Linked DNA regions of Mus musculus. The protein of the gene in region 2 interacts with the protein of the main gene of each other region in a pairwise test. Links are inferred from orthologs where the notes say so. Each region holds a gene or a part of one and is shown on either strand. Other genes may lie near its edges.

Region 1 (15,777 bases), on a different chromosome or scaffold from region 2:
TGCTCTTAGCAAATCCCAAACTCAGAGCAAATTTGCATCTATGTCTATTGCCTTGTCTGCCCTATGTCTTATTTATTTAATCACAAGTCATCAGTAATACGAGACTGCATATGGCAGACACATGGTTTAATAACAACACAAATGTTCCGATGTCCACCAACTCGATGCATGAACTATTTCTTCACAATGTTTCATAAGTTTACTCCCTCACACCTATTCTTTACTGACACTCTGGCTACCAGCTGCTGCCTGCCTCCTTCCTTAGGCTAAAAACACTCATTAGCCATCCACGTGCCTTCACGTGTGGAGGCAGTGATGTGGTTCTCCTGTTCTTTGTATTTGCTGAATAAAACTTGTTCCATTTGCTGTTTTCAAGCAATATAGAATTTGGTTGGAGGAATCTAAGGCATTAGAATAGTGAGTGTATAGTTTTATATACATTCAAAATCGGATTTGTTTTAATGTTTCTTTCTCTGAAAGTTTAAACATTACATATTCAAGTAAGGCACCATTACCTATAGGGTTGGTAGAAGAAAAATAAACAAGATCACCAAAACCAGGACCCTGCTATGAGGAATCACAAAAGCAGAAGAGAAACATTGTATTTTTTGATCCAAATCAGAAAATGGCATAGATCTTCCAAAGTCTCTGATAGGTGGTTGTATATTTTTACTCTGTCACAGTCAAGGTACTTGGTTGACTTCTGGTATGACAGATGTGGTAGCTCAGGGCAATAACAGGCGGGATGGTGCTTAGGATAGATAGAGGTGAGAAAAAAACCATTAAGTTCAAAATTACCTATGTAGTTAGCAGGAAATCTATGACAATCACGGATATTTGCAGTTGTTTCTTAAACCCACCATTTGTTGGCTAACTACTTACTAGGCAGAGCATTATATATTCTATGTACACTGGTTGAAGCCAACCTATAAGAAACAGGTAAAGTGGAAGCGCAGTGAAATCCAATCCGTGGTGGGTTTGAGTGGTTCTCAACATAGTAGAGAAGGCAGATAGTGACTAGAATGGAAGTATAATATTGTAAGAGCTAATCTAATTGTTGCTGTCTGAAAGAACTGCAGGGATGGAGATGGAGAGGAGCCTGAGGAAAAGAAGGTACAGGGACAGGCCCAAAGTGGGATCCAGCTCAAGGGGAGGCCTCAAGGCCTGACACTATTACTGAGGCTATGGAGCACTCACCAAAAGGGACCTAGCATGACCACACTCTGAAGGACCTAACAAGCAACTGAAAGAGTCAGAGGCAGATATTTGCACCCAATCAATTGACGGAAGCTGCTAAACCCTGTGGTTGAATTACAGGGAAGAAGCTGAGGAGATTGACTCTGTAGGAGGACCAGCAGTCTCAATAAACCTGGACCCCCTGAGATCTCTCAGATACTGAAACACCAACCAGGTAGCATACAACAGCTTTTATGAGCCCCCCCCCCCCCCCCCCCCCCGCCAACACATACACAGCAGAGGACTGCCCAGTTTGGGTTTATTCAGAGAAGATGCACCTAACCCTCAAGAGACTGGAGGCTCCAGGGGGTGGAGAGGAGGTATTGGATGTGGTATGGGGGTATACCAGGAGAGGAATAAAATCTGGAGTTTAAAATAAAAATATTTTTTTTCAAAAAAGAGCTAATCTAGGAGAAACCCAGAGGTCAAACCTTTTAGAGAAGATAGCGTTAGGGCTGAAAGGTGGTACAGAAGCCAGAAAGCTGGGAAGAGGTATAAGCATATGCTGACTTGGCATGTTCACAGGAATTTCTGAGAGAGACAGGGACTAAACTGGGGGAGAGTAAAAAATGGAGAGGATGGTTTGGGGAAGGGAGAGGCTGGTACCAGAAGGCTGTAGGAAGCAAGACTCACCAAAGTGTTCGCTAGTGATGAATGGGGGATGAGGTCTTTGCTTTAGAAATGATTCTCTGGAGATGACTGGTAAATGGAGGGATGAGCACAAGGGAAAACAAAGAAGACGCTGAAGTATGTGACCAGTGAACAGTCTTTTTGTGTTCCTGGATCCTGGTTCCTCCTCATCACGTTCCTCATTTCTTTTTGATGTTTTACAGATGCTCGTGGATGTATTCAGTCCTAATACTTCCATAAAAAGGTTCATGACTGGCATATGCAATAGTGTCTGGGTTTGGTGGTTGTTTATGGGATAGATCCCCAGGTGGGGCAGGCAGTCTCTAGATGGTCCTTCCTTCCATCTCAGCTTTGAACTTTGTCTCTGTAACTCCTTTCATGGGTACTTTGTTCCCCATTCTACAAAGGCACAAACTATCCACACTTTGGTCTTCCTTCTTCTTGAGTTTCATGTGTTTCACAACTTGTGTCTTGGGTATTCTAAGTTTCTGGGCTAATATCCACTTATCAATGAGTGCATATCATTTGTGTCCTTTTGTGATTGGGTTACCTTACTCGGGATGATATCATCCAGATTCATCCATTTGCCTATGAAATTCATGAATTCATTGTTTGACAGAACCCTGATATAGATGTCTCTTGTGAGGCTATGCCTGTGCCTGGCAAATACAGAAGTGGATACTCATGGTCATCTATTGGATGGACCACAGGGACCCCAATGAAGGAGCTAGAGAAAGTACCCAAGGAGCTAAAGGGGTCTGCAACCCTATTAGGGGAACAACAATATGAACTAACGAGTACCCCCCTAGAGCTTGTGTCTTTAGTTGTATATGTAGCAGAGAATGGCCTAATAGGACATTAATGGAAGGAGAGGCCCTTGGTCTTGCGAAGATTATATGCCCCAGTACAGGGGAATGCCAGGGCCAGGAAGTGGGAGTGGGTGGGTTGGGGAGCAGGGCAGGGGGGAGGGTATAGGGGACTTTTGGGGTAGCATTTGAAATGCAAATGAAGAAAGTATCTAATAAAAAAAAAAGATGTTTATGACTATTCAGAGACTTCCTCCAGGAAGGAAAAGTGATACCACCAGAGCAAGGAGACTGGACCAAGATGTGACCATCACTGTATCATTTGTTTCTTTACTACCGGCTCAGTAGTGAGTAGGTCTTCTGGCTGAGGCTTCTGGCATGTGTGTGCATGATGAATATTGTCTTACTCGTCAATTTCTAAGAAAAGTAGAGGCCACCATTGGCTCCTGCTCTCCATGAGACACTCTTGCGAATAGCCACAGCTCAGATCAATTTTACCTTCACCAAATGTTGTAATCACAGGCCAGTGGCTGCCATTCTTGGGCTTGACTTAGATAATTAGTGAACCCCAGTAGCATCATACAGACATGTGCCAAACAGCAAAACGTCCAAGTCACATGACAAAATTATCCCTGTGAGAAGTGGAACGAGGTATGATGCTCTTGCATCTTGTTTCAACTCTCATACTTCACATGACTGTTCTTATGCCGTTTCTCACAGTCTCCATAGTGCCATACTTGCCACATCCCAGGACCTTGAAGAGACATATAGAAGACCAGCCAGTGGATGGTGGCATTTCCCATCTTTGTAGGTATCCTATGGCTTCAGACACAGATAGAAAGTGAAAGCCATATGGTCCTGGTCATCACCCAGGCTCAGTAAATGGGTGGAAAAATAGTGTTACAGAATCCTAGGTGACACACAACAGGACGGTGATGAAGACAGCTCCACTGTTCCATGTAGAGGGTACTCAGGGCTAACAGAATACCTCAGTGGAGGACTGGATGGTATTCCCTGCTCTCCAAAGGTTGTGGTTTTATTTTCAAAGTTTGATGAAAAACATTCCTCCTTTTCTTTTCTATTAAAAAAAAAAAAAACCTGAAGGGATAAGCTCACTTCTGAAGTGTTCTGTCTATAGAGTAATCAAGTAGTTTTAATCTTGTAAAATTTTTACTTAGTTTATTATTTATGTGTGTTATATACTAAGTGTTTTCTGTTGGCACACACATGGTGTGTGTACACGTGAATGTGTGAATGAAGGACAGTGGTTAACCTTGGTTTAATTCCTTAGAGCTTCTTGATAGGTCCTCAGCCTCTCTGGTTTGGTTAGATGCTCTGACCACTAAGCCCCAGGGCCCCACTTGTACCTACTTCCCTAGCCCTGGAATAACACGTGCATATCATCACTACTGGTTTTCAACATCGATGCTATGAATCAAACTCATGTCCTCATGCTTGCTTGGCAACCACTTTACCAACTGATCCATCTCCCCAGCTCTTTGGAGAAAGTAGGTGTTAAAGAAGACCTAGTTCTCATCTTCAGCTATTTGGAAATTTATTTCTTGGGAAAGGAGCAAACTTCTTTATCTAGAGGTCTTACTAGGTGTGCTGGTGATGGTCTTGTGGATGTAATTTTCAGCTATAGGTAAGTACAGCATTCATATAATAGGACTTCTACATCAATGTTTGGATTTTCCCATGGGGTGGTAACTTTTCCTTCTGTATTTTGTTGGAGATTGCTCCAGAAGCTATGGAATGCTTAGAAAGAAAGAAAGAGAGAGAGAGAGAGAGAGAGAGAGAGAAAGAGAGAGAGAGAGAGGGAGAGAGAGAGAGAGAGAGAGAGAGAGAGAGAGAGAGAGAGAGAGAGAGAGGAAGGAAGGAAGGAAGGAAGGAAGGAAGGACAAACCATATCCCCGGGAATGACTTTTTAGAATGAAAGAAGTTTGGTTTCTGGAACTATGATAAAAAGATAGAAATAAACATGAATACCATCCATAGTCAATAGTTACAGACTGGAAGTGAGGAGGACTGAAGTGAACATCTGTGCGTGTTGGGGTGTGCTTTGTTTTGAAAATCAGTCAGTGTTTATTATTCAAAACTGTCTCCTGCACAACAACTATTGTCTATTTCTCAAATTACGTTATATTTGCAATTCTGTAACTCATCCTTGAATCAAATACAAACTGAAGTAAAAGTAAACTTTCTGGAGAGATTTATTTTAATTCAGATGACTAAACAGGTATTATATTAGGAGACACAAGTTGATAGGAATGATCACAAGGACTTTCCACAGTCAGTGATGGTGACTGAATCTAGATCCGACTCCACCAGAACATCAACAGAGAAGGGACTCCGATCAGAGCCCATCTGTAACGCACATGATGAAGGCATCGCTGTTCTTTCTATGTCCATGGAGAGATCAGCAGTGCCCTTCATGAAGAAACTGGATTTTTCCATTGCTTCTCCTGAGGGAAGACATGAACAACAAGAGTAAACAAAGGCAGAAACAGAAGTTGAGAAGAAGTACAAAAACAAAGAAAGTGGTGGTGGGACCTCCTTATGGCTAAGAACAGGACTGCGTAGCAGAACCTCTTTCCACAAAATGGCGAGTCTGAGTTCCAGAGCACCATGCTGTTGCCACAGAGCAGAAGTTCTCTGCTTCAATCATGGTTCCATCCCATCCACTTCCTCCACTGATCCCAGAGGCAGGAGGATTACTTGAGGTAGCAAAAGAACAAAGAAGACTCCACAAAAGGAGTTGACGTAGCCTATCTTTCGGCTCTTCCTGGTCAGCAGGGCAGGGATGCAGCTGGATACTGTAATAGTGAGGACGCCTTCTACCATGTCTCCCTCTCAGGACCTCATGCCCAGTTTCATGGTCCAGGGCTGTAGATGTGTCTGGGTTAAAGAATCTTTCCTTTTGTGAAATGAAACTTTCCAAACATAAATGTATATGTAGGCATGTTCTCTGGTCTCAGACCCAACCTGTGATTCTAACTTGGGGGATCCGTCCCATAATCAGCCACCAAACCCAGACAATATTGCACAGCAAGATTTTGCTGAAAGGATCCTGTTATAGCTGTCTTGTATGAGGCTATGCCGGGGTCTAGCAAACACAGAAGTGGATGCTCACAGTCATCTATTGGATGGAACACAGGGACCCCAATGGAGAAGCTGGAGAAAGCACCCAAGGAGCTGAAGGGGTCTGCAACCCTATAGGTGAAACAACAATATGAACTAACCAGTACCCCCAGAGCTTGTATCTTTAGCTGCATATGTAGAAGAAGATGGCCTAATCGGCCATCACTGGGAAGAGAGGCCCTTTGGTATTGCAAACTTTATATGCCCCAATACAGGGGAATGCCAGGGCCAAGAAGCGGGAGTGGGTGAGTAGGGGAGCAGGGCAGAGGGAGGGTATAGGGAGCTTTCGGGATAGCATTTGAAATGTTTATAAAGAAAATATCTAATAAAAAAAGATAATCACAATAAAGAGAACTCTGGACATGAGATAAGTGTCCCAACATAAGTATCACTGCTAAAAGATAGTTAGCAATAATAAAAATTAAATTTGGTATATGATAGCAAGAGTGCTAAGTTGCATTTTACATTTTAAAAATGTAAATGGTATTTGCCTAATAACTATCCTTCCAAACACTGTGCAGACTAAACAAAATACCTAAACTAACCACGTCGATGGGATTTTGAATTACTAATTTCAGCCTGCATCCCTCATTTTAGATAAAAGGAAAGTCAATCAATTTCAGTGGCTATCTCATTTAAGACTACTGATGCTTAGAGTCTATAGGAACCTGAGACTAAAGGCCAGATGCATTAAAAGTGCATAGTATTTTAGAAATCACATAGGATAGTGCATTTTACCTATTCATAGACCTTTTAAAAATAGGAAGTTGTATGGAATTCCACTTCATAAAATAGTGAAAATTGAACTTGGGTTTGGGGGCCACTCCAAATGGCCAGTTTTGGTAACTCATGACTTGCCTCTAGATTACAGAGGCAAATTTGAGTCTGAAAAATCAAGAACTAAACTCAGAATTACAACAATTGGATCTGTGAGCCGGATAAGAGCAGTTCAAGCTGGCAGAAGAGTTGGCCAATTTTTGTTCCCACATTCTATTCTGCATGAGAAAAAGTAGACCGTAAGGAGTTAAGAGGGATCTTGGGAAGGGGAAGGATTTGAGTAGAGAACATGGTTCCCAGACATTGTTTCTTTGTATTTGATACTCACAAGATCTCTGTACACAGCTTGCATTTATTCCCGTAAGTGATATAGTCAGATCCACAAACTGGTATGTTTACAATGGGGCAAGGGATGGCCACCACTGGGTACTTCTTGTATATGTCACAGTCCACCTAGTCAGACACAAGAGAATGTCCTGATTTTCTCAAATACCACAAGGATAACTACATTGGGTCAACTAGACAGGCTACATACATCTCAGCAGTTCTGATGCTGTTGAAATTGCTTTTATAAAGAGTGGCATCATCATCATGACAAATACCAGTAGTGCCAGAACCCTTCCTAGTTTTTAATGCCACACTTGGTGAGCAATCGCTGGCCATTTCTTTGCCTTACAATTATGTAGGGGGTTGGTCTGATGGCGCTTGTATTCTAGTGTGAAATACTGGCTTCTCAAGTTGTACAGATCCTCACCTACACCAAGTGATGCTATGTGAACCTTGCTGCTCATTTTAACTGGTCAATAAAAGGCTAGAGCCTGTGATTGGGCAGTGGAGGGAGAAAGGTGAAACTCAAGGATCCAGTGAGGGAGGTTGCTGGTAGAGGCAGAGGAGGAAGAAAGAAGACAAAGGTGGAGGAGGCAGCCATGAGAGGACATGGACATGAGCACATGGCTAGGAGAAACAGCAAGTAACAAGGGACTTTATAGCTGGGGAGTAAGTTAGTATAGCTCCAACCCTCCAATCCAGGCTTACAGTTTATAAATAAAATACCCGGATTGTGTATCTTTTATATGGGCTAGCTAGGAGGATGAATTCTTTCCACATAATTAACTTTTTGTTGCATAAAATCCCATTTTTTTAATACTCAGGAGGCGAGTAAGAAACATTCTACTATATTGGCCATTTACAAATGTAGAAAACGTTTCTCCATCTGTGTCTGTCTCCTCTGTTGCTTTCCTTAAATGATCATACATGAGCGATGTATTGATCTTTCATAGATATTTGTTGAATAAGAGACAGCCAATAGAAATTAAAATTTTTATTCAACATACTTACTGTTGCTGAAGGGTGGCTAGTAACTTCTGAAAGGAAAATACAATGAAAGCATTACAAACAGAGCAAATCCTGGGATTTCATTACTCAAAGCTGATTTGTTCTTCAGTTAAAGACATTTCATTTCCCCCGGCAATGAATTTCAGCATAGACCCTATCATTATGCAAAATCACAGCAGTTTGCTTAGGGACTTGAACAGCCAATGGGTAAGCCCTTGAATCAGGAAGGCACATTTATTTATTCATTTTGGAGGCTATGGTGTATTTCAAAAAGCCAGTTGCTACTGAAGCCTTATCTCTGATATACTTTCTCTCCTAATCAACACAGACAGATATAGGGGGTAGATGTGGTGGTGCACACATTAAACCAAAGCATTCAGGGGCAAAGACGGGCCGATCTCTGTGAGTCCAAGGACAGCCTAGTCTACGTAGCAAATCCCAGGCACCTACAACTACATAGTTAAACCCTGTGCCAAACAAACAAGCAAACAGTAAAGTAATTAGATATCATTAAAAAAGTTAGAAATTTATTTTAACTACATACCTCTTCACAATTTAAAAGCAAAATCATTAACTTGAGACCTCCAGAGAAGTGTCTTTTAGTTAGATTCTACTATATGGATCCATGAAGACACCTAAGGACCTCTGTATTTCTGCACCATGGAACAGCCATCTACTGACACAGCTGTAAGTATCCTTACACAATAAATATTTATAGAGAAATTAGGACATTTTTTGGTCCATGGGTGCCAAGTAAGAATCCTTGCAAGGGAAGAGATTAGATTCCAATCCCTCAAAGTACAGCCAGAACCACGATCCCTCTCCCTGATCAGATCTGTTTCTCTCACTTTAAATCCACTTGATCAGATATTTATGTCAGCAGCTTAGATCCTGGGAGAAAGTACATGAAAAATAAAATCTTCAGGACTGTATGTGACACCGTCTTACCCAACTCACCAGAGCAGTTGCAGACATAGGTTGCTGCGAAGAGCAGCAGGAGACCACCAACAAGCTTCATGGTGGAGAGCTCTGTGATGCAGAGGCTAGTGATGCGAGACTGGCTTGAAGCTGAATGTGCCATGTACTCAGCGAGGGGTCAGGTTTATATGGCAAGCCTCGGTTTCTCCACCTTTCCTGTGAGCTCATCCAAAGTCAGCATAGGACCCGAGTGGCTCGCAAAGCACGCCACACCCTGAATGGTGCTGCCACACCTGTCAGCCAAATTCTGGGTCCCTACTCACTGACAGGTGGGTGATCTGAGGTGAACAGTATTTTTCTATCTGTTGCATAAGTGAAGACAGTTACTTAGACTAAGCTTTGCACAGAAAAGATCAAGCATGGATTTCTTGTTTTAGATAAGAAACAAAAGAATATTACGTGCGTGATTTATTCTACTCAAATGTAAGGTTTTAAACACAGCCAAGCCATGGTATATCCACATTTTAGGCTCCCGAGACAATACAGTCTCATTCTCCAAGCAAGGAACCTATTAAACATTCAGGGGTCTTGCAACTCTAACATCTTTGGGACTTATGAGGCTTTGAGAAAGGTGTTGGCATTTCCCAGCTATATAATCTTGGATAAGGCATTTATGAAGCTGTGAACTTGTACTAGTCAGAAAAGCGTGGTCATATTATGGTTACATGTATTTTTGAGATTTCTATAACTTACAGATTGTACCTCTATGAATGGGCGCTTCTGTGGTGCTGATGCATAGATAGTACTCTGGTTGCCAGATGGGCAATGTTGTCACTGTTTAGAATAACGCTGTCCAGTGCGGTGAAGACATATCCCAGATGGTGTCCCTTTCCAGCTACGAAGTAAATGTTACATCCCAGGAGAGATACCCTTGTCATTGTTCTCCCCTGACACATGGCTATTAGTCTCATGATCTTTTCCAGCCGTAGAGGACATGGAATGGATATGGTCATTTTTACTATGTCTCCAGAAGGTCAACACAAGAATGAGTACAAGTAGTTGGCAAACATTAAATTATATACTGCATTGTCCAGGCACAATTATCCAACTGCCTGCTATTTGTCTGTCAAACTCAAGGAGATGTGTGAAAACCCAGAAGACAGGAGGATATAAAGCTCATTGTGTAGTAAGCTTAATTTTGTACATTCTGAAACATAGCATTTACAAATAATAGTAAACAAATTATAAATGACATCACCTCTCCTTAAATGTTAGACCTTAACATATTTCAGGGAAGGCAGTACAATATTGTTAAAAGTGTAACTATTGTATATTGTGGATCTCATTTGAATTGTTCATTTAAAGCCATTGAATATGTCAGTTAACTTTGAGAGATATTGATTTATCTCTGAAACACAAATCATGTTTACCTTGTGGGATATTTTGGACTGTTAAGTATAACTTCAAACACACACACACACACGCGCGCGCGCACACACACACAGAAGGTGGGTAGCATGTCTTGATAATTTTATTGTATAAAAATCACAAAGTACAATTATACATACACCCAAGCTGTCATATATACATACATATAATCTGTATATATGAACATGTACATGTGGGCATATATAAAATTACATATATATTATAGTTCATTTGTTCTAGGACAATTTGAATAAAAAAGATGAGATTAAGGAACAAGTGTTTATAATACCATTAAGAAACAATCTGAGCTATATAAGACTACCTGAAACAATACATTATTATACTGTTTTATAGCAAACTTTTTTATATATATGTAGAAGGAATAAGTAGTAAAATAATAGACAGTATATAACATACACGTTACTTATTCATTATATCAGGTACTGTGAGCACATATAGTTGTATGCTATGTGCTTTTATATGACTAGCAGTGTGGTTGAGCTGAATACATTTCATCACTGCATATAATCTCATCATTGTGAAACACAACTAATATGTATCTCATGGGGCAAAGTCATGCTACAATAGCCAAAAAAGACCTAGGTCATGGGGATATTTTTCAACTTCATTATATTCTTCATGGACTGTGAGTCTATGTGCAACATGTTGTTGAATAGAATACCAATATCTAAAATATGCTATGTATATAACTCTTATTTTTTCGAGACAGGGTTTCTCTGTGTAGCCCTGGCTGTCCTGGAATTCACTCTCTAGACCAGGCTGGCCTTGAACTCAGAAATCCACCTGCCTCTGCCTCCCAAATGCTGGGACTGATTAAAGGCATGTGCCACCACTGCCTGGTGTATATAATTCTTGTGTGTGCATGTGTGTGTGCCGTGTCAAGTTCTAGGCTCCTAATTGAATATTGATATGGTAGCTAATGTTGTGGGATGCAATTTTTAGGCAGTTTATTGCCCTAATTTTATCAACTTATAATTTGAAGACATAATTTTCTTAAGATCATGATTCTAGTTACTGAAGGACAATATGCAGAGCAGAGTCACCGGCAAGAGCTGATGTTCCTAATAGGGACAAGCAGTCCTAATTTCTCCTGTCTGATATGAAAGATTACAGATAAAGAATACCAACAGAGTCCGGGCGTGGTGGCACATGCCTTTAATCTGAGCACTCAGGAGGCAGAGGCAGGTGGATTTCTGAGTTCGAGGCCAGCCTGGTCTACAGAGTGAGTTCCAGGACAGCCAGGGCTACACAGAGAAACCCTGTCTCGTAAAACCAAATAAAAGAGAATACCAACAGAAAGACACCATGTTTCAAGGTGACCTGTAATTTTTGCAGTTTGAAAAAGGACTACCTTTTTTTTTTTTAAGCAAAAAAGGCTTACAGAGCATTCTTTTGGATATTTGAGCATCAGAGAAAAAGAGAAAGGGCAGAACCATTGCCTTCTTTCAGCATAGTCTTTCATATACTGAGTCTCTGAAAGCCAAGGGCAAATAAAGACATAGGGCAGATGGTGGCTAACCAGAACCCTATAAAAGGAAGACACCAGCTGAAGGCATAGGTGAAGCCATCCCCTCTGTCATAGAAGGCAGATGATTCGGTAAGTAGGTGAGTGTGGAGGTTGCTATTTGGAAAGATTAGGAAATGAAGCCCATCATAATCTGCTTTTGACAACAGAAGAACGGAGGCGTGCTGTAGCTTGAAGACATTTGGCACCAACATTGTTGGGAGTATGTCAGATCATTCTAAATGGATATAGAAACTGACGGCCATTAGGCAATGCTTCAGCCTGATTAGTAGCTTGTTGTGCACTTCTCTCAAAATCCATACGACACAGAGTGGAAACTGCGGGAGAGTGAGTTTTACGAATGTTGACTGAGCAGATCTGTGACTTCCAACAAGCATATCTTTGTGTTAGGGAGTGTCAAGGTTTGGAAGAGAAACTCCTGTTAGACTCTGAAAAGTCAAGTTTCAAACAAAATGCGGACCTGGTAGGTATGGTGAATGTAAGTAATTGTTTATGTAGGCTATGGCTAGGAGGCAAACATCAGATTGAATTTGTCAAGGGTGGGGCCAGGGTCATGATACTCTGGGTTTTTACAAAAACAAAGCAGAGGCCGATGGGTGGAGACTCCTTGTGAGGAGGAGCGAGGTCAAGGGATCAGCTATGGGGTTTGACAGGTTTTGGAAACTATGTCTGTGGAGTGGGGATTTTTCACTCTAAACCCTGAACTATACACTAGGAGAAGAAGTTCTGGTGTGGAAAAGCCGCTTTCTTCAGATTACAGGCAGCTTGTTCGTTTCTCAGTGTGTGCCTTCAAAGGATTCAAAGCCTTGAATCCTGTAGGAAGAACAGACTTGTGGGACCATGCAGTGGGAGAAAGTGAACAATCAATGCAAAAGCATAAATGCCAAGACAAAAGTTTCACATTTTTTTCTTAACCAGATTTGGGGTACCCCCCTCCAAGAAAGAATAGGATGGCTCAGGGTTATGTTAGAATAAGGATTGATTGAGGTGTTCCTGGGCCAGATCTTTGGAGGGACATAAGAGAGATTGCATCAGAGATGGGATAGAACAATGTCTATAGCAGTGGACTGTCGTAAGAACTAATGTACATTAAGTCATTAGTATGTACTGAATCTGTGTGTCTATGTATCAGGGTTAGTTCATCTCAAACTTAGAACGAGCCTCTGAGATAGGTTCAAATAGTTGCTTTGTTTTAGCAGAGATAAGAACTAGGACTTAGAAGAGTAGCAGTTTAAGCTAAAGAAGATACACTTTAATTTTGCTATTGTAGTGAAGTGTATGGCAGAAGCAGTAGATTTGGAGTTCCACTGACCAGTGAAATAATAAACATGAAACTAAAAGCATTCAGGAAGACATTGTAAATGAGTGGCAGAATGGGCTGGGCCATGGGTCAGAGTGTGTGGAATTCTCCATGTGTGATGTTCACTTGGAAGGAGGGAGGGTCCTTGTGTGGGGGAAGTCCCAGCGCCACTGTTTCCTACCCTACCCTATACACCTGTCTATGTAAAGAACAGCATAACAAAATGAAATGTCTTTTATTTCTTAGAACTTTCTGCTGCCTCTGCTTCTACTAACATTAACTTGAAAATCTATCCTGGGGGTGGGGCTTATAGCTCTATCTCAAGGGTAAAGCAGTTGCCTACCACTCATGAAATTCTGAGTCCTAGCCTAGCATGACATAGAGAAAAACCCCACCCCCAAATTAACATATAAAGTGTGAAGAATGAGAAGACTCATACTCTGCTGTTTATTCCCCTTCACTCCATTGCTTGTTGCCATACTGGCTTCTGACCACGGTCCCCAGAACTCTGTCCCTATGACACCCACAAGGCATACCTCCTAAAACCTCAAGGCCTTCTTGGGACCATCTCAAACTGTGGTCAATGCATTCAGCTGAGCCAGCTCTGGGCCATGGTTTTTTTCTGCTCTGTTCATTCAGTGTCTACCTTCCTACGCTGGCTCAGTTTTCTTTGCCCTTTCTTGTCTTTTCTTGACATAGCCTGCACTTTGGATCTTGCTCTTCCTCTGTGTGGAGAAGACAGAGCCTGAGGGATCTGGGCATTGGTATTCTGGCCTTGTGTGTGGCAGGGCTGTTTCCAGTTGCTTATGGGAATAGGGAGTTTGCAAAACCAAGGGTCCTGTGTATCAGCTGCATTCAATTTCCTTTGAGCCACTGATGATTGACTGGTCAACCGGAGTTTTCCCTGAGACCATGATGTATGAAGGAACACAGTTCCTTCTCAAAACCAGGAATGAGTTTGTCATTATTGGCCTGTGGCCAGGGCCTTGGGTAGCTGTGGCTTCATACATTGAGAACACATCTCGTTGCACCATAGGGACTGTGGTTATCAGTCCCAAGGTGTACTGGTTAGTTTTGTGTCAACTTGACACAGCTGGAGTTATCACAGAGAAAGGAGCTTCAGTTGAGGAAATGCCTCCATGAGATCCAACTGTAAGGCATTTTCTCAATTAGTGAACAAGGGGGAAAGGCCCTTGTGGGTGGGACCATCTCAGGGCTGGTAGTCTTGGTTCTATAAGAAAGCAGGCTGAGCAAGCCAGGTGAGGCAAGCCAGTAAAGAACATCCCTCCATGGCCTCTGCATTGGCTCCTGCTTTCTGACCTGCTTGAGTTCCAGTCCTGACTTCCTTGGTGATGAACAGCAGTATGGAAGTGTAAGCCGAATAAACCCTTTCCTCCCCAACTTGCTTCTTGGTCATGATGTTTGTGCAGGAATAGAAACCCTGACTAAGACACAAGGCTATAGGTCTATAAGGTTTTAAGATAACCCATGTTTGGTTAGCTCCTCGCTGACTTTGTCCCATTGTATCATAGTTTCTCGTGATTCTGTCCAATTTCTCCCTTGAACATTGTACATAAGATGCTATACTTCTTAATAAGCTTGCTTGGGATAAGACAGAGTGTGCACAAGACCTCTGGACTCAGCTTTTATGTTCTCTATTTTCTGTCTTTTCTTTCACCTATCCTGGCATCTCCCCTTCAGGATCCTATTACTAAAGAATGGCCTGATCCACATCAGTAAATAGTTCCAGCTAGTAGACAAGGGAATGAGAATAGACTATAACCAACAATTTCCCTTCTGATTCACATCACATATCTGGATATTAGTGGGTACCTACATCACTGTCAGGAGCAATAGATAAACATCACATCTACTATGCTTGGAGCTGAAAGGTTGCCTGTAACCCAACAGTCAGACAGCATGAGATGATGTATTAGTTAAGGATGCTGTAATAAAATTCCAAAAGCCAAGGAGTTTAAACATCAGAACTTTCCTTTCTCCCAGGTTTAAGGCTGTATCTTGGCTGGTTTCTCCTGAGGCTTCTATCTTTGGACTCCAGAACACTTTGGATGGTTTAGTCTCTGAGCACATACACCTGGGTGTCTGTCCTATCAGGATTCCAGTCCTACTAGATTAGAGCCCCATTGTTATGACCCTACTTAACCTTCATTTATTGACCAGAGTATAATTATACCTTTGTTACTCTTCCCTTTCCCTGTGTGTTTCTCCTGTCCACAGTGTGTTTCATGATTTAGCCAAACTGGCCTCCTGAAAATGCCAGCAAATTCATTTCTTCCTGGGTCTGCATTTTGACTCATTCCATCAATAAACAAATAATATTGGAGACTGGGAATGGGAGAAGTGTGACTCCCGAGTGCTCTGAACTCCCCTTAACTTTCTCAAGGTGCTTTCTATTCCTCTGTTTGTGCCTGGATCTGTACAACCCTATGTTTTTCCTATGTGTGCCTGCCTATGATAAAGTTTTATGAAGTAAGTATAAGAGATGAACAATAATAACAACTGGTAATACAACAGAACAATTGCAAAACATATCCTAATGGGGGTTGTGATACACGTTATGGTATTGCATGTGAGCTAATGCATGGTGATGTTTGATGATGCACTAAGATAAGATAAAGTGAATGATATAGATGTCCCAA
Region 2 (15,248 bases):
GACCAGAGATGCAGCTGAAGGTTGTAGCATTTGTTCATCTCTGAACCCTGCCTGAGGTGACAAGTGCTCTGGGGAGTTAGACCAAAAAGGTAGTACATACAGCTCTCTGAGGGTCACACAGCTAAGGCAGAACACTCCCTCCCTTTTCAAAGGACCTTCAATTATGTTCTCCGGGAGCTTCCCAAAGTGCCAACCCATGTGCCGGTGTGTGTGCTGGGCAACTACCGTGACATGGGCGAGCATCGAGTCATTCTACCAGACGATGTGCGGGACTTCATTGAGCATCTGGACAGGTGGGTGCTACCACTTTTGCTCCTGTGACGTGCTCTGGTGGTGTTGGGGGCAGCACAGGCAGGGTCTTATCCTGTGTTGGAGATAAGATGACAGCACCTAGCCAGAGAGGGTAAGGAATTCCAGGTTTCCACGAGATGGTAATGCTGCAGAAGATGTGAAGACCATATGCCAGGACTATGGGGCCTGCCTGGCTCTTGTCTGGTTCTTCAGACCACTCCCAGAGGAGTATGCTGTAAAACATCCTTAGGAGCTGGCTGCCAGAAGGAAGCTTGGTGGCGGGATGCGTAGGCTTAGGTGTGACCCTTGACTTTGAAGTCAAGCTACACTGCCCATCAAGTTCCTTTATCTTTCTTTGAAAACAGACCTCCAGGTTCCTCCTATTTCCGCTATGCTGAATCTTCCATGAAGAACAGCTTTGGTCTAAAGTACCTGCATAAGTTCTTCAACATCCCATTTTTGCAACTACAGGTAAGTGCGTACTAGGTAGGGAAAACAAAAGGGTAACCATCATTTTTGTGACTCTGCACAAGAAGTGCCCTGCTTCCTAAGCCTGATAACACCCTTGGGCACCTTCTTGGAAGCTGGCTACTGATGTATGTAATGAGCTGGACATGGCACACACAGTACTCATAGTGGCGGCCAAGAGTCTGGTAACATGTCCTGCTCTCTAAGGGCATTGGAAGTCAGTACAGCCTGTAGAGGGAGCCCTTGTCCCCTGTGGGGCACCAATTGAAGTGCATACCTCATTTCCCAGATAAACAGATAGCTATGGAGGAAGTCCCAGTCACAACAAGTCTTTCAACAAGAGGCAGGTTCCAGGGTATGCAGTTTCTGTGACTACATTCACGTGCTGGCTGTGCTCTGGGAACCATGGCCCTCTGGCCAGCTCATGAAAAAAGGAAAACCTGTACCCTTGCTACAAGCATCTAGCCTTCCTGATACAGCGGAGGCAAGTAGAGTGGCCTTCAGGGTGAAGAGCTGCACCTATCCTGCTTTTTAATTAGTGCTCCTCTTGGAACCTTCTAGATGTATAGAAGTGGCAAAGGCTGTATGTGGAGGCACAAACCTGTAATCCCAGCACTCAGAAGGCTGAGTCAGGAAGATCACTTCAGGTTTAAGGATACAGAAAGAGGTTCAATAAGAGGGAGACCCACCCCAAAAACTCATAGTGGTACATGCCAGTAATTCCAGTACTTGGGAAGTAGAAGCAAGAGGATCAGAGGTTCAGGGTCATCCTTTCTATATCACAGGTTCAAGAGCAGCCTGGACTCCCTTTCTCAAAAACAGAAAAGGTGGCAGAGGTAGTAAAAAAATGGCCATATCCCCACCCAGTCCCTATTGCCTGCAGTTTGTTTCTACATTTGTCTAAGCCAAAGGACCAGTATCATTCTATAGACTAAAGGTTCCAACTAGTCCCAATTTCTCCCCAGAATCCTACCCTGCTTAAGCTCTGGTCCTTGTCTCTGGTCTTGAGGTACGCTATAGCTTCTCAGAGCTAGGAGAGCAATAGACTGTGGAAGGTGGAACAAGGCTCTGGGTTCTAAGCATAAGAACAGAGAGAGGGCCAATCCCTGATCCACATCCCTTTTGGGACAAACAGCTTTGTATGGGGTCTCTGGTGAACAAGAAAAGGCTAAACAGGCCTGGCTACCTTTCTGGACCTGGGTACCTGTAGCCTCCCCTGCTCTTAGGAACCCTTCATACTTTATCCAAGACATCAAACTCACTTAGAAAGGTGAAGCTTTCCTTTCCTCCTCTCTTCCTCCTTTTGAGGAATGTGAGGTTCCTGCAGGGGTGGCTATGATAGGAGCCTCTACTAGAGGCCTTTTGGCTGAAGACTCCTGTTGAGTCACCAAACTTCTTCTGGGGAGACATGCTTGGGATAACATGCTTGTCTCCTCAATCCAGTTAGGGATCCCAAAGTATGGATACCACCAGAGTCCAGCTTGGTGAACCAATGAGTTTTGTTGGGGTAACTTATATCCATATGAATGAGGAGTTCCTTACAGGAGCAGAAATGAATCAAAGACTGCATCACCAAAGCCCACCCAAGCATGGGTGACAGCTCACACAAGCTGGGAACCTGGAGCACCCTGCACAGCCTTCCCATGCAACGGTCTGGTCTGGATCTTCTTGCAACCTTTCTTCTCTGAGATTCAGCTTTTATTGCTTATTGGGCCAGGAGGGCCTAGTCAATCTGGTCAGTTTCAGGGACTTCCTGAAACTATTTTCAGTTGTTTGCCTTCTTGTTTAAAGAGCTCTGCAGCATGGATGTTTCAGTTTAGGAGGAAACCGTTAACCAAACTCCTCATACTGCTCCATTCTATGAAAGCTTTACCACTGACTTAGACCAAGGGAGATCAAGGGACACAAAGGGATGCCAGAATAGTCATTGGTGCTAAAAGCCTGAGCTGAGACCCAAACCAGTATAGCTTTCCTCCATGGTTATTTGCAGGGAACCTGATGGCCACTGTCTGCTGGCAGGGTAGTGGGTACCTGGAAGCACCCATGGATTGAAACATTCCATATTGGAGGGGCTGGCTGGTCTTCTAGAGAATGGCAGTTCAATACACAGCATCCACATGTTGGCTCACAACTGTCCGTTGTCAAGGGATCTGAAATGCCTTTCTGAGCACCAGACATGTACGTGAAACACAGACGTAGCTTGCAGACAAAACATTTACATGCATTAAATAATGATGTGGGAATGTAACTCTGTTAGATTACTCGCCTACTATGCATGATACCCTGGGTTCAGTCCCTAGTACTGTACAAACCGTGTGTGGCACAGTCTGTAATCATAGCACTGAGGAAGTGGAGGCAGGAGGAAAGGAAGTTCAGCATCATCTTTAGCCATATAGCTAGTTCAAGGCCAGACCCTGGTACAAGAAACATTAACCAGTCTTATTTTCAAAAAAATTAAAAACAACAAAAGTTAGGTGTGGTGACACACGCCTTTGATCCCACTGCTCAGAAGGCAGATGTAAGTGGATCTCTGAGCCTTAGCTACAAAATGAGTTCCAGGACAGCCAGGGCTTCACAGAGAAACAAAACACCATGACTCCACAATTATTTGAATCACCAGTTATTGGTCAGTATTCAGGGTAAGGTCTAAATAGACTGTATGCTATGTATGTGATGTGGCTGTCTAGGCTGCTCTTGGTATAGCACGAGTTCACCTTTAAAGTAGAGCCTCGTCAGTCTGTGGTATGCCTGCTTGTTAATCCTGAGTGTTGTTTGCATCGTTCTTGTGTATCTCTTTTCATTTTTCAGAGTATAAACAACTCCCAGGTCTCTTGGTCTGTAGTTAACTCCCACTTTTTCTATTCGATTTGTTTGCTCTGTGCTGAAAGGACCCCACTGTGAGCCGGGGGCAAGCCCTGTTTCTCTGGAAGGCAGTGCCTGTCCACCAGAGCCTCTTCCAATTAGGAACACAGTCCTTACACAGCCTGAAAAGCTGCTGATTTTTAAGATTTTTTTTTGTTTGTTTTTTGGTTTTTTTGGTTTTTGGTTTTTCGAGACAGGGTTTCTCTGAATAGTCCTGGCTGTCCTGGAACTCACTCTGTAGACCAGGCTGGCCTCGAACTCAGAAATCTGCCTGCCTCTGCCTCCCAAGTGCTGGGATTAAAAGCGTGTGCCACTGCCGCCTGGCTAAGATTAAATTTAAATGCAAGAAGCCATGTTGACTGACAGCCTTGGCAGCTGGACTCAGAGACTTGATTTGATCCGCTTTGTTCATCCGACTACAAGTATGCGGTTTACCCAGGCTTACCTGGCAGAGCTTCTCACCTAGAGTTGCCCCGAGAGCTGCCCCTGCACCTTAAGCGCCTGTTTCCATGGTTTTGTGGCCTGATAGGCTATTGTAGCCAACAAAACATGCTAGTGACCAAAGATGTGGAGCAGAAGGTGGCACTTTCTGGTGTGGTTCCCCATGACCTATATCCTCCAAGCCATAAAAGCTGAGCTTGCAGGCAGCCAGACCTCATGTCTCTCACAGGAACAGGCGGTAGAATGGGGAAGAAGCATACTCAGTTTTGTCTACTTCCTCTACAGAGGGAGACACTACTGAGGCAGCTGGAGACAAACCAACTAGACATCGATGCCACACTAGAGGAGCTATCAGTGCAGCAGGAAACCGAGGACCAGAACTACAGCATGTACGTGAGCTAGCATCTACAGCTATGCTGGCCTTCACTACCCTGAGCGGGGAGGATGGGTCCTGTACCCTGTTGCCAGTAGGCCCTAGTGTTCACAGATAAGAGCTGAGTGCCAGACTTTGGTCTGAATCTATGAGGCAGTGGAGAAAGCACCACATACAATCAGCCTGAGTGTCCTTCAGCCAAGACCTTAGCAGTACTCAGTGTAGAGCAGTGTGGGGAGCATCGGACTAACACAGCTCAGCAGCTCCTCTCAGCGGTCTAGGACCTGCGTCCATGCTATTTGTCCTTGCCCAGAGCCCTTCCTGTTCACCTGTTGGGGTATAATTATTAATATGAGCTAATTAATAGTCAGATCAACATTTTTCTAAAACAGATGGACTAGTACTTTGAATTGAGCTATGCTGGCCTGGGAGCAGCCTCAGTCTCCCTACATCCCCTCTCAGTTCTTATAGAAAGTGAGGACAGGTACTCCTGAAGATGGGTTGTGTCGACTCTGGCACTCTACACCCCCAAGTACTTTGGAGCCTACAGAACTTACAAAGTGCTTAGACATACGTTATGGTTCCTACGTGTGGGTCAGCACATGCCTGTGATGAGAGCCACTCCTCGTGTGCGATTGCTAACTTCCTCACTGACCATAACCAGCCACACTACTTCACTGTTGTTTGGCTAACAGCTACTGGCCTACCCAGATTCCACAGGAGTGGGTGGTCCTGCACCTCTGCTGTGCAGCTCAGTTCCCCAGGCTGAGGAAATGCCAGTGCAGAGGGAGAGCATGGGCTTGGGAGCTACAGTGCTAAAGAGACAGGATAGGCAAGGAATTAGTCTGGGTACCAGGGACGGGACAGTTGACTGGCAGACAGGCCCTATCCTCTGCCTAAATATAAATGTAAAAGACACACTGATGCCTGAAAACCATGGAAAAAGAGGGCCGAGAAGAAGCAGGTTCCTCACTCCATGCCCTTTTGCCCCTCCTAGCTTCCTTGAAATGATGGAGGCTCGAAGTCGAGGCCACGCATCCCCTTTGGCAGCCAATGGGCAGAGCCCATCCTCAGGCTCCCAGTCGCCAGTTGTGCCTCCAAGTGCTGTATCCACAGGGAGTTCCAGCCCCAGCACACCCCAGCCTGCCCCTCAGCTGTCTCTAGGTGTCTCCTCCACCTGTCCCTCAGCACCATCTCCTGTACCCTCTTTGGAGGCCATGCCCTCCTCTGTACACTCTTCAGCCCCAGCCCCAACCCCAGCTCCAGCCCCAGCTCCAGCCCAGCGTCGCAGTATCATCTCTCGGCTGTTTGGGACCTCACCAGCTGCAGAAGTGACCCCTTCACCTCCAGGTAAGCCTGGGAGCAGCTCTCTCATGTGAATTTGGGGCCACCTTCTGGCATCTTGAGCTTCATATTCCTCACTGGAATGTCCCTATGCCCCTGAAAAGTCACATGGGCCAGCCAGTCCTTAGCCTGGTTCTAAAATAGCCTGGACCTTGAGCCTGGGTGCATGCCTTGTTAAGTCCCAATCCCACAGGCACAGTTTTAGGGCTTGCCTAGCATGGGGGCAAGGACCACATAAGGAAGAAACAGCATTTCTCTGTAGAGCCAGCTCCAGCTCTCGAAGCTCCAGCAAGAGTCCAGAATGTTGAGGATTTTGTCCCTGAAGATGGCCTTGACCGAAGCTTCCTGGAAGACACAAGTGTGCCTAAAGACAAGAAAGTTGGAGCCAAAGGTCCCCAGCAGGATAGTGACAGGTAAGGGTCAGATTGATAGAGCTGAGCACAGGGTCCACCTCAAGGACCAAGCAACAGAGCTTCCCCATCCCATTCATACCTGGGTCTCCAAAACCCCATTGTGGGCACAGCCTCCGGTGCTTACTAGGTTGGCAGTTAGCTTTGAGGACAAATGGAGGAACAGAGGGAAGGGCTTAGGTCATGTCAAAGCCCACTCAGTACAATCATTGCCATCCACCCTGGGGAATACAGACAAAGGACTTACCCGGGACTGAGGCAGAGTTTATGGCCACAGCAAACTAGAGAACATTAAGCTAAATCTTCCTAGGATAGCAGGAGCCTTGACAGATGGCCTATCAGGGATACGGGCACTCTTTTTTTTTTTTTTTTTTGGTTTTTCGAGACAGGGTTTCTCTGTGCAGCCCTGGCTGTCCTGGACCTCACTCTGTAGACCAGGCTGGCCTCGAACTCAGAGATCCACCTGCCTCTGCCTCCCGAGTGCTGGGATCAAAGGCGTGTGCCACCACGCCCTGCTAGGGATATGGGCACTCTTGAAGGCCCAATCTATGTGTAAGGTATAGTGAAGGCCACCTGGGTCTCCATATAGACCCAGAGAAGCAAGCCCTAGCCAGGTCTAATTTCCTGCAGCTAGCCCTTCTCAGTCCCTTCTCTGAATTCTAACGACACTTGAACATCTGTCTACAGTTAAGCCTGAGATTATTCCCTCTCACAGATCAAATGTTGAGTGACTGTTATCATCTCCAGCATCACCATGTTGTATGGGACCAAGGGCTTCCCTTCCAGAAACAAATAAATTAGGGGCTTCTCTCTGGACTCCTCCCACTGATTCTGTCACTGACCAGCAGCAACTAGGCAGTGCTTCCCTCACTATTTAGTCCCCCTCTTGACAGCAGAATACCCCTGTAACAGCCCAGAAGGTCTTGCCACTGGGATATGGTACTACAGACAGGGCAGCTCTACAGGCAGTGGGGTGGGTAATCAGCAACACACAGCCCCCTCAGAACCTCTGACTGCCTACCCCCCCCTCTTTGCAGTGACGATGGGGAGGCCCTAGGAGGGAACCCAATGGTGGCAGGTTTCCAGGATGATGTGGACATAGAAGACCAGACACATGGCAAATCCCTGCTGCCCTCGGATCCCATGCCCAGTAAGAACATCAGTCTCTCAAGTGAGGAGGAAGCCGAAGGACTGGCAGGCCACCCTAGAGTGGCCCCTCAGCAATGCTCAGAGCCTGAGACTAAATGGTATGGGCTGGGATTCCCAGAGTATGTCCAGCTGAGGTGGCAACCCAGGGTGGCCTCTGAGTTCCTGACATTTCTTCTTATGTGAAGGTCCTCCACCAAGGTCTCACATCCACAAAAGAAGAGAGCTCCCACGAGAGGCACGCCACCGTGGTCAGATGGTCTCACCACTGATGACTCTGAAAGACCCCAGGAAGGGAAGGACAAACAGGTGTCATCAGAGAGTGATCCTGAGGGGCCCATTGCTGCCCAGATGCTGTCCTTCGTCATGGATGACCCAGACTTTGAAAGTGATGAATCAGATACACAGAGGAGAATGGTAAGGACAGGTGCTGACTGGGCAGCTCAGGCACCATCCTTCCAGAGCTAGAGGACAATCAAGAAGGTCTGTTTCCCAGAGCCTGACGAGAGGCAGGAGAATGTTCCTGGCTCCAGTGCCCCAGAGGCACAATCCTTTCTTATTTACTGTGTGGCTGAAGCCTGCTGGAGAAAGTGAATGAGAGTCCATGGGAGAGGGCCCATTGTCCACATGAAGGCCCTGCTGATCTTTCTGAATCTGGGTCAGGTTACCCCTCCCATCCAGCCCTAGCCCCTGGAGTCGTAAGTGAACTTGCCAACCTTGTTTCCCAGATCCCTCGGAGTGGTCAGGGCACAATCGGCCTACCAGCTGCTCTCTTTCCAGGGCAGGTTTCCAGTAAGAGAAGACCTCTCTGATGTAACTGATGAGGACACTGGCCCTGCTCAGCCACCTCCACCTTCCAAGCTCCCAGGTGCTTTCAGACTGAAGAATGACTCCGATCTCTTTGGGCTGGGCCTAGAGGAGATGGGACCTAAGGAAAGCAGTGACGAAGGTAGGAGGGCCTGGAACCTGCTGGATCCTAGAGGTCCTTGTCTGTGATACTCCTGTGTTTACATTTACATTGCCTATGGTTTCTCTTTTCACCACAGTAATTAGCTGTGAGATTGGTGAAACTGTCACACCAGCTGGCAAATGTGCACCCAAGTGTGGTCCAGAATAGTCATCTAAACACTGTCACTGTCACTCTATCCATGGTTCCCTATGGGTCCTCACCTCTACCAAATGTTCTACATTCCATGCTTTCAGGTGTCCCAAGCCTTTGGGACAGAATTCTTTTGGGAGGGGGAAAAAAAACCACACAGGCTAATAAAAGGTTACTGCAGGGAGAATACCTGGGAATCTCGGGCCGGCCCAGGCTGCCTGGAGAAGTCCTTGGACTTGGGCCATGTCAGCCCAGCAAACAGCTTAGGACTGTACTGTCAGGTTCTCAGCCCCATAGGGAGGGGAAGAAATTACTTGAAGGCTTGTTCAAGACTCACCACCACAAAAATACATAAATTGCCTGTGGGACCACGCCCTGTTGGGAATGGGGTCTCTGCAGCAGTGCCTCTGCCTAACTCTACAAAGTGGTAGCAGGTAGGAGCTCAGCTGTCCTTTTCTGTGCAGATAGAGACAGCAAACTTCCCTCTAAGGAGAAGAAGAAAAAGAAGAAGAAAAGCAAAGAGGTACCTACTCTGTCACTAACCTCCCAACTAGCCAAGCCATCCAGGCTCCTAGAATGTGGGATTTAGCCTTGTGGGTTGCCCATTGACTCTAGTTCTGCTCTTCATGACCTTCAGGAGGAAGAAAAGACTACAAAAAAGAAAAGCAAACACAAGAAGAGCAAGGACAAGGAGGAGGGCAAGGAGGATCGGAAGAAGAAGAGGAAGCCCCCTCGGAGCAAAGAGCAGAAGGCTGCAGATGAGCTGGAAGCCTTCCTGGGGGGTGGGGCCCCTGGCAGCCGCCACCCTGGAGGTGGGGACTATGAGGAGCTCTAAACATGCCTAGGGCAATTGATTGTCTGGGAAGAGGTGGGCTGCCAGTGGCTGGGAGGCTGCTGTCTATGCACCCACATTCCCAGGACCACCCTGCCACCTATGTCCCCCAGCCATTATGTCTGCCCCCATGTGGTCTGGCCCACTCTACATTGTTTTTTGTGCAGAAGACCTTGGTGGTGTTCAGGCCCTTGGGTCAGGCGCTGCAGGTGCTGGGCCTCAACCCAGCAGAAGCCTGCTCTGCAGGGAGGGAGGGGACAGAATAAAGTTGCAGCTGGCTTGGTGGATCACCTGGCCTCCCAGAAAGAGCTGCAACCAGTCCCCGGTGTTTCTCAGGGATGTGCCTGGGGCCGAGAAGGGACCCACCAGGGTCTGTTTACAGAGGCAGGGCGTGGGGCTGCTTGGCTTCTCTAATGCCCACCACCCAGCCCCACTCCTGCTTGCCTTCCGGGGCTCTCCCAGAGCCACAGCATGGCTTGGGTTGTGGACCTTCTTCCCCATGGATCCAGAGTGGCACAGGGTCCTGCCCTGAGCACAGATGTGTCATGTGTCACTCAGGAGGGCATGGCAGCATCTGCTACTGCAAAGTGGCCCAGGCCCCGCACTGGGTAAGCCTGGCAAGAGAACACAATGTACCACTTCTCCTGTGGGAGAGGCACTAACGGGCTGCCACTGTGTGCCAGCTGCGCCTCTGCCCGCTGAGCGCCTGCGCAGGTGAGCCCAGAGGGCACCTTCTTAGACACTCCAGACCCATACCATAAAGCTCTCTGATTTTACTGTGGTGTGTGACTCTTTTTCTGGTCCCCTAAACAGCTTGAGATGAGGCCAAACAATGGACTAGGTGCTGTTAAGCCAAAATTCGGCCCAAAGGGTGGTCTGAGGACTTAGTACCTAGCCATACCATGTAATCCAGAGGACCAAGGTGGCCATGGTTCAGGGCTTACCACCACAGGCTGATACAAGGTTACTGCAGGGAGAATACCTGAGAGTCTCAGGCCCTGGGGCCCTGGTAAGGTAGTTGTGTCCTGCTCTGCACTGCCTCCCTGCCTGCTGGGAGTCTGGGGGCGCCTGCAATTGAGAATTTCGCCCCCGCTGGCAGCTCTCCACCCTCGCCCACTGTGGACACGTTGCCATGAGAACCCTCCAGAGGCAGGCATTTATCACTGCTAGTGACGTTGGGGGTGGAGCATAGTGCTGCGCCTACTGTGGGCCAAGGCTGAGAGTACTTCCCTAGAACTTGTGGGGGTGCTATGAGGGGGGCTTCCCTTTTCTGCTAGGGAGCTGTGTACACAGGACAATTGATAACTGAGCAGGCACTATGGGACAAACATTACCTGGCCCTTTAGCTCCCAGACTTTGTACTCCTGATGTAGAGAAAGGGTCTACACGTAAATTACCCCCACTACTGCCCAATAAGCCGTAGCACCGGGATCTTGCCAGGTCTGGTGCCTAAATAGGCAGGTCTGGCATCTATAGCCCATCATCTACCAAGCTAGGATGCTGGAAGGCCCAGTGCCTCTGGCAAGAGGCACGCAGGGCCAGAATGAGGTTGTGGCTTAAGAAGTGAACCTCCTGAAGACTTCCCCCAAAGGAAGCAGGCGGTGGCCACCCAGGCTATATTGGACACTGGAAGTTGCAGCTACACTCCAGGCTGAGCAAGCCATCTGGCTCCCGGGCACCTGCCGAGATTTTGGCGTCTTCAGAGCCAAAGAGGACAGTTCCTGAGGAGAGGCCAATGGGCATCTGCTCCCACCCAGGTCCAACCACAGACGTGTATTCTGGAAACTTCCCCAAACCCAGTTTCTCTAAAGACAAGCCAAGGTTTCTGGCTCCTTACAGGACCCTGCCTGGAATCCTTCTGGCAGGCTTCTCTTGGTGCAAGGGACTCCCTGTTCAGACCGAAAGATTTGTGCTTTGGGGATGCTATACATTACCCTTCACTCTACACCGCCTAAAATGAGAGCTAGGTCGTCTGTGGTCCCAGTATACACCTACCTTATAACGCGGCCCCTTTAAGTGCTATTCTATTGGTAGCCACTAGGGGCAGTACTGAGCCGCCAGGCCAGGATCACAGCTGCTGCCTCCAAGCTTCTGCTGGTACCGGGTGTATGTATATATATATATATATTTATAGCGGGGCCAGGTACACACTGGGACCGACCTGGGCTATGCAGACTACTCGGGCTCGGCTCGTGGAGTAATCACCAGGTAAGAGGCCAAGCCAAACTGCCCAGCATGTGGAGCTGTTGGCACGGGAGGGGGCTGCACGGAAGGATGAGGAGTCCCCGCCCCCAAGCAACGCAGACTAGGTTCTTGCTGATGGCTGCTCCAGGACGGGCCAAAGCAGGACTGCTATTTGGGAAGGGCCTTCAAAATACCTAGGATACAAGAGCAAGCCCCAACCCCATCCCAAAGGGAGCGTGTGTCACAGTGCACTGCTCCTGACAGCTGCAGCCAGCAAAGCCGACTGTCACCTTCCTGGGGCGGAGCCTCAGACCCTGTCATCTCACCCAAACTCTGACCTGGCACTGAGTTTAGAATGAAAGGGGTCTTAATAGGGTCGGCATGAACCTGGGTTTGGAACAAGCCTTGGTACTTAGTAGCTCTGACTCCAAAGAGCACCCCTCTAACAGCCCCTTGTACACCTGGACTAGAGACCCGAAAGGCCCATCCACTTACAAGTCCTGCCAGGCCCCAACACACTCTCAACTTCCTCTGGAGCAGATGTCCTGGGAGTAGGTGCATTATGGGGGGAGGGTGTGTGTGTGTGTGTGTGTGTGTGTGTGTGTGATCGCCTTCTTAAACCCTCTTTCTCTAGCCAGCTCCAGGCCCTGGAGACCACAGACACTGGTGGCCCACATCTGAACATTAGCCTAGATCGTTTTCAGCCCATAGCTCCAGGGATGAACAACCACACGTTTCCATGGAGCTTTCCAAAGCCAGAGTGGGAAGGACTCTGTCCTGGGGAGGGGCTTTCCCGCCCTCTCCTCTGCCTCCTCCTAGCTAGCAGCCTCCTGGCTTGGTACACTAGTGGTAGTTTTCAGCTTAGAGGAAGGACACCATGAACTCGTGGCTCACATGGCCCCACGTGGTTCTGTAGCCTAAACCTGGCTTTAGCACACACTGGGGGTGGGGGAAGGGTCCATGTGCAATTCTGCAAAGCAGGAGAGTCTTGCTGTAGCCTTCTCTGTTCCAGCAAGCTTGGTGGGTTTCATTCAAGCAACTGGGGTCCAAGATTTATGCAAAAGGAAGAGGGATTTGAGACCCAAGAAAACTCTGGGATCATTCCTCTGCCTAGGACCTCATCGAGTTGAGGGGACTTACGCTTAGTTAAAAAGGACTTGAGTGCTAGGAGAAGAGTTCTCTGCCCAGCCTAGTCGGCAGGCAGGAACCATTCATTGACTCACCTGGGACTCTGCATTATCAGAGGGTCTACCTGTAAGGAAATCTAAAAGTGCATCGTTCCAACTGTAGGCACCAGAGGGCAGTAGTGCTGAGATCACGTCCCGCTTTGATCTACCTAAGCCTGCCCAACCGACCCTAGTAGGGGGAGAGAATGCCTGGCAGGTTTAACTCAGGAGTTCCCTCTACAAAGAAGGTCCACAGTAGCCTAAATTCTCCTGGCCCATCTACCCCACAGGTCGCATGGACTGTGAGCTTTCTCCTGCAGGTACATCTAACATAGGCATGGAGGCAGCACCAGAAGCCTTGACCATGACCTGCAGCCAAGGCTGCACCATCCCCTATGCCCCAGGTAAGCCGGACCAGCACGTGGGGTGGGGTGGGGTAAAGGGCTTGGGGTGCAGAGGAGGCTGCCCTGACCGGTATCTCCTCCCAGGGCAAAATCCCCGAAAGGCCGTGTGACTGGAGCTGCCAGCCTGGGGACGTCTTTTAAGATGACCCGCACGGACCCGCCGGACTTGCTGGTGTCGACCGTGTACCAGGACATCAAGGTGGTGGACCCAGGGCTCACGTCCAAACGCCAGCCATGTGAGCGATCCGTGGCCCGGCCTGCTGCGCCCACGCCTTTCAACAAGCGCCACTGCCGTAGTTTTGACTTCTTAGAGGCACTGGACGAGCCCACCATGGAGACACACCCAGAGCCGCCACCTCCTGAACCTGCGCCACCGCGCGCCCGACCCAGAGACAGCGAGCCTCGGCGCCGCACCCGTTCCAAGAGCGCGCCCCGTGCGTCCCAAGGCCTGGCGACTGCTCCAGCTTCGCCGCCCGTACTGCAACGCAGAGGTCGGGAAGCCCAGCGTGCAGTGCGGGTGGAGGGGTCGCCGCGCCGGGAGCCCTCGTATCCTGCGCTGAGAGCTCTCGCTAATGAGCTGCACCCCATCAAGCTCCAGCCACAGCGGGGAGGCCCCGGACGCATCGCGCCTCTATGCGCCACCCCAGGCCGCTGCGCACCACCGGAACCACCCTCTGGACCTGTCCCCCATGTCCGCTGCCGTTTGGACATCAAGCCGGACGAGGCAGTGCTGCAGCACGCCGCCCGAAGCTCGCGATCTTGCGCACCTAGAGAGACGACGTCCTGGGCTCGCACAGCTCCACAGTTCCATGGCCTCACAGTTCCCGGCCCTCGCCACGTGGCCCTGTCACGCACTCCTACCCCCAGTGACTTGTACTGTACTGACCCCAGAACTCTGTACTGTGACGGGCCACTGCCTGGGCCCCGGGACTACTTGGAGCACCGCAGTCAACCCTTCACAACGCCTCCAGGTCCCACCCAATTCTTCTACACCGAGGAGCCAGAGGGCTACGCAGGCAGCTTTACCACAAGCCCCGGCCTTCCCTTTGATGGCTACTGTTCCAGGCCCTACTTGTCCGAAGAACCCCCTAGACCCAGTCCAAGGCGTGGGGGCAGCTACTATGCTGGCGAAGTACGCACCTTCCCGATCCAGGAGCCCCCCTCCCGCTCCTACTACGGGGAGACAACTCGAGCCTACGGTATGCCTTTCGTTCCCCGGTATGTCCCAGAAGAGCCCCGGGCGCACCCTGGAGCCCGCACTTTCTACACCGAGGACTTTGGGAGGTACCGAGAACGCGATGTACTGGCTCGGACTTACCCGCACCCGCGCAGCAGCCCACCCTGGGCTGACTGGGGTCCGAGGCCTTACCGCACCCTTCAGGTAATGCCGCCTCCCGCCCCTGGACCACTGTTGGCCTCGTGGCACGGCGGCACCGGCACAAGCCCACCCCGGCTGGCCACCGATAGCCGCCACTACTCTCGATCCTGGGACAACATCCTAGCTCCTGGTCCTCGTCGTGAAGATCCTCTAGGACGCGGCCGCAGCTATGAGAACCTCCTGGGACGCGAGGTTCGGGATACGAGGGGTTCATCCCCTGAAGGTCGGCGTCCACCAGTCGTAGTGAATTTGTCCACCTCACCCAGACGCTATGCAGCACTGTCGCTGTCCGAGACGTCGCTGACAGAGAAGGGCCGCGCGGGAGAGAGCCTGGGCCGCAACTGGTACGTCACGCCAGAGATTACCATCACAGACAACGACCTGCGCTCAGTGGATCGCCCGACTGCCAAGGGCTGGGAATTGCCTGGAGGCCGACCACGGCAGCCCGTATCCACGGTCCCTGAGGGTCCTGCTTCAAGCCGCCAGCGCAGCCTCGAGCAGCTGGACGAGCTCATCACTGACCTGGTCATCGACTCACGGTCGCCAGCCCAGGCCCCGGAGCCTGCCGCCGAAGGTTTAGGCCGCCAACTACGCCGCCTGCTGGACTCACGGGCTGCAGGCCCTGGAGGGGCCACCCTGCTGGCGCCATCGCGCTCGCCCCCGGCCTCGGCTGGCAGCACTGAAGAGCCCACCGGCTCGGGGGAGGCAGCGGACGCCTCCCCCGAGCCCAGCGCAGACGAGGATGACTTGATGACCTGCTCCAACGCGCGCTGCCGGCGGACAGAGACCATGTTCAACGCCTGCCTCTACTTCAAGTCGTGCCACAGCTGCTATACCTACTACTGCTCGC

The links.
Region 1: the proteins of Rabl6 (region 2) and Spink7 interact in binary tests that used the Homo sapiens proteins (3 or more experiments, as listed by UniProt). The link is inferred for Mus musculus from reciprocal best matches to the Homo sapiens genes RABL6 and SPINK7.

The regions. Positions count from the first base shown.
Region 1 is NC_000084.6:62,587,322-62,603,098, forward strand, and holds Spink7 (serine protease inhibitor Kazal-type 7 precursor), read right to left. Parts: upstream 8,944-15,777; coding exon 8,883-8,943; intron 7,955-8,882; coding exon 7,929-7,954; intron 7,044-7,928; coding exon 6,919-7,043; coding exon of another isoform or gene 6,915-6,918; exon of another isoform or gene 6,858-6,914; intron 5,138-6,857; coding exon 5,092-5,137; downstream 1-5,091. UniProt on the Homo sapiens protein: Probable serine protease inhibitor.
Region 2 is NC_000068.7:25,577,812-25,593,059, reverse strand, and holds the end of Rabl6 (rab-like protein 6), read left to right. Parts: intron 1-152; coding exon 153-293; intron 294-656; coding exon 657-762; intron 763-4,347; coding exon 4,348-4,451; intron 4,452-5,432; coding exon 5,433-5,785; intron 5,786-6,041; coding exon 6,042-6,192; intron 6,193-7,226; coding exon 7,227-7,436; intron 7,437-7,523; coding exon 7,524-7,752; intron 7,753-8,115; coding exon 8,116-8,284; intron 8,285-8,898; coding exon 8,899-8,957; intron 8,958-9,071; coding exon 9,072-9,269; 3' UTR 9,270-10,043; downstream 10,044-15,248. Other genes in the region: Ajm1 (apical junction component 1 homolog), read left to right, coding at 13,163-15,248. UniProt on the Homo sapiens protein: May enhance cellular proliferation. May reduce growth inhibitory activity of CDKN2A.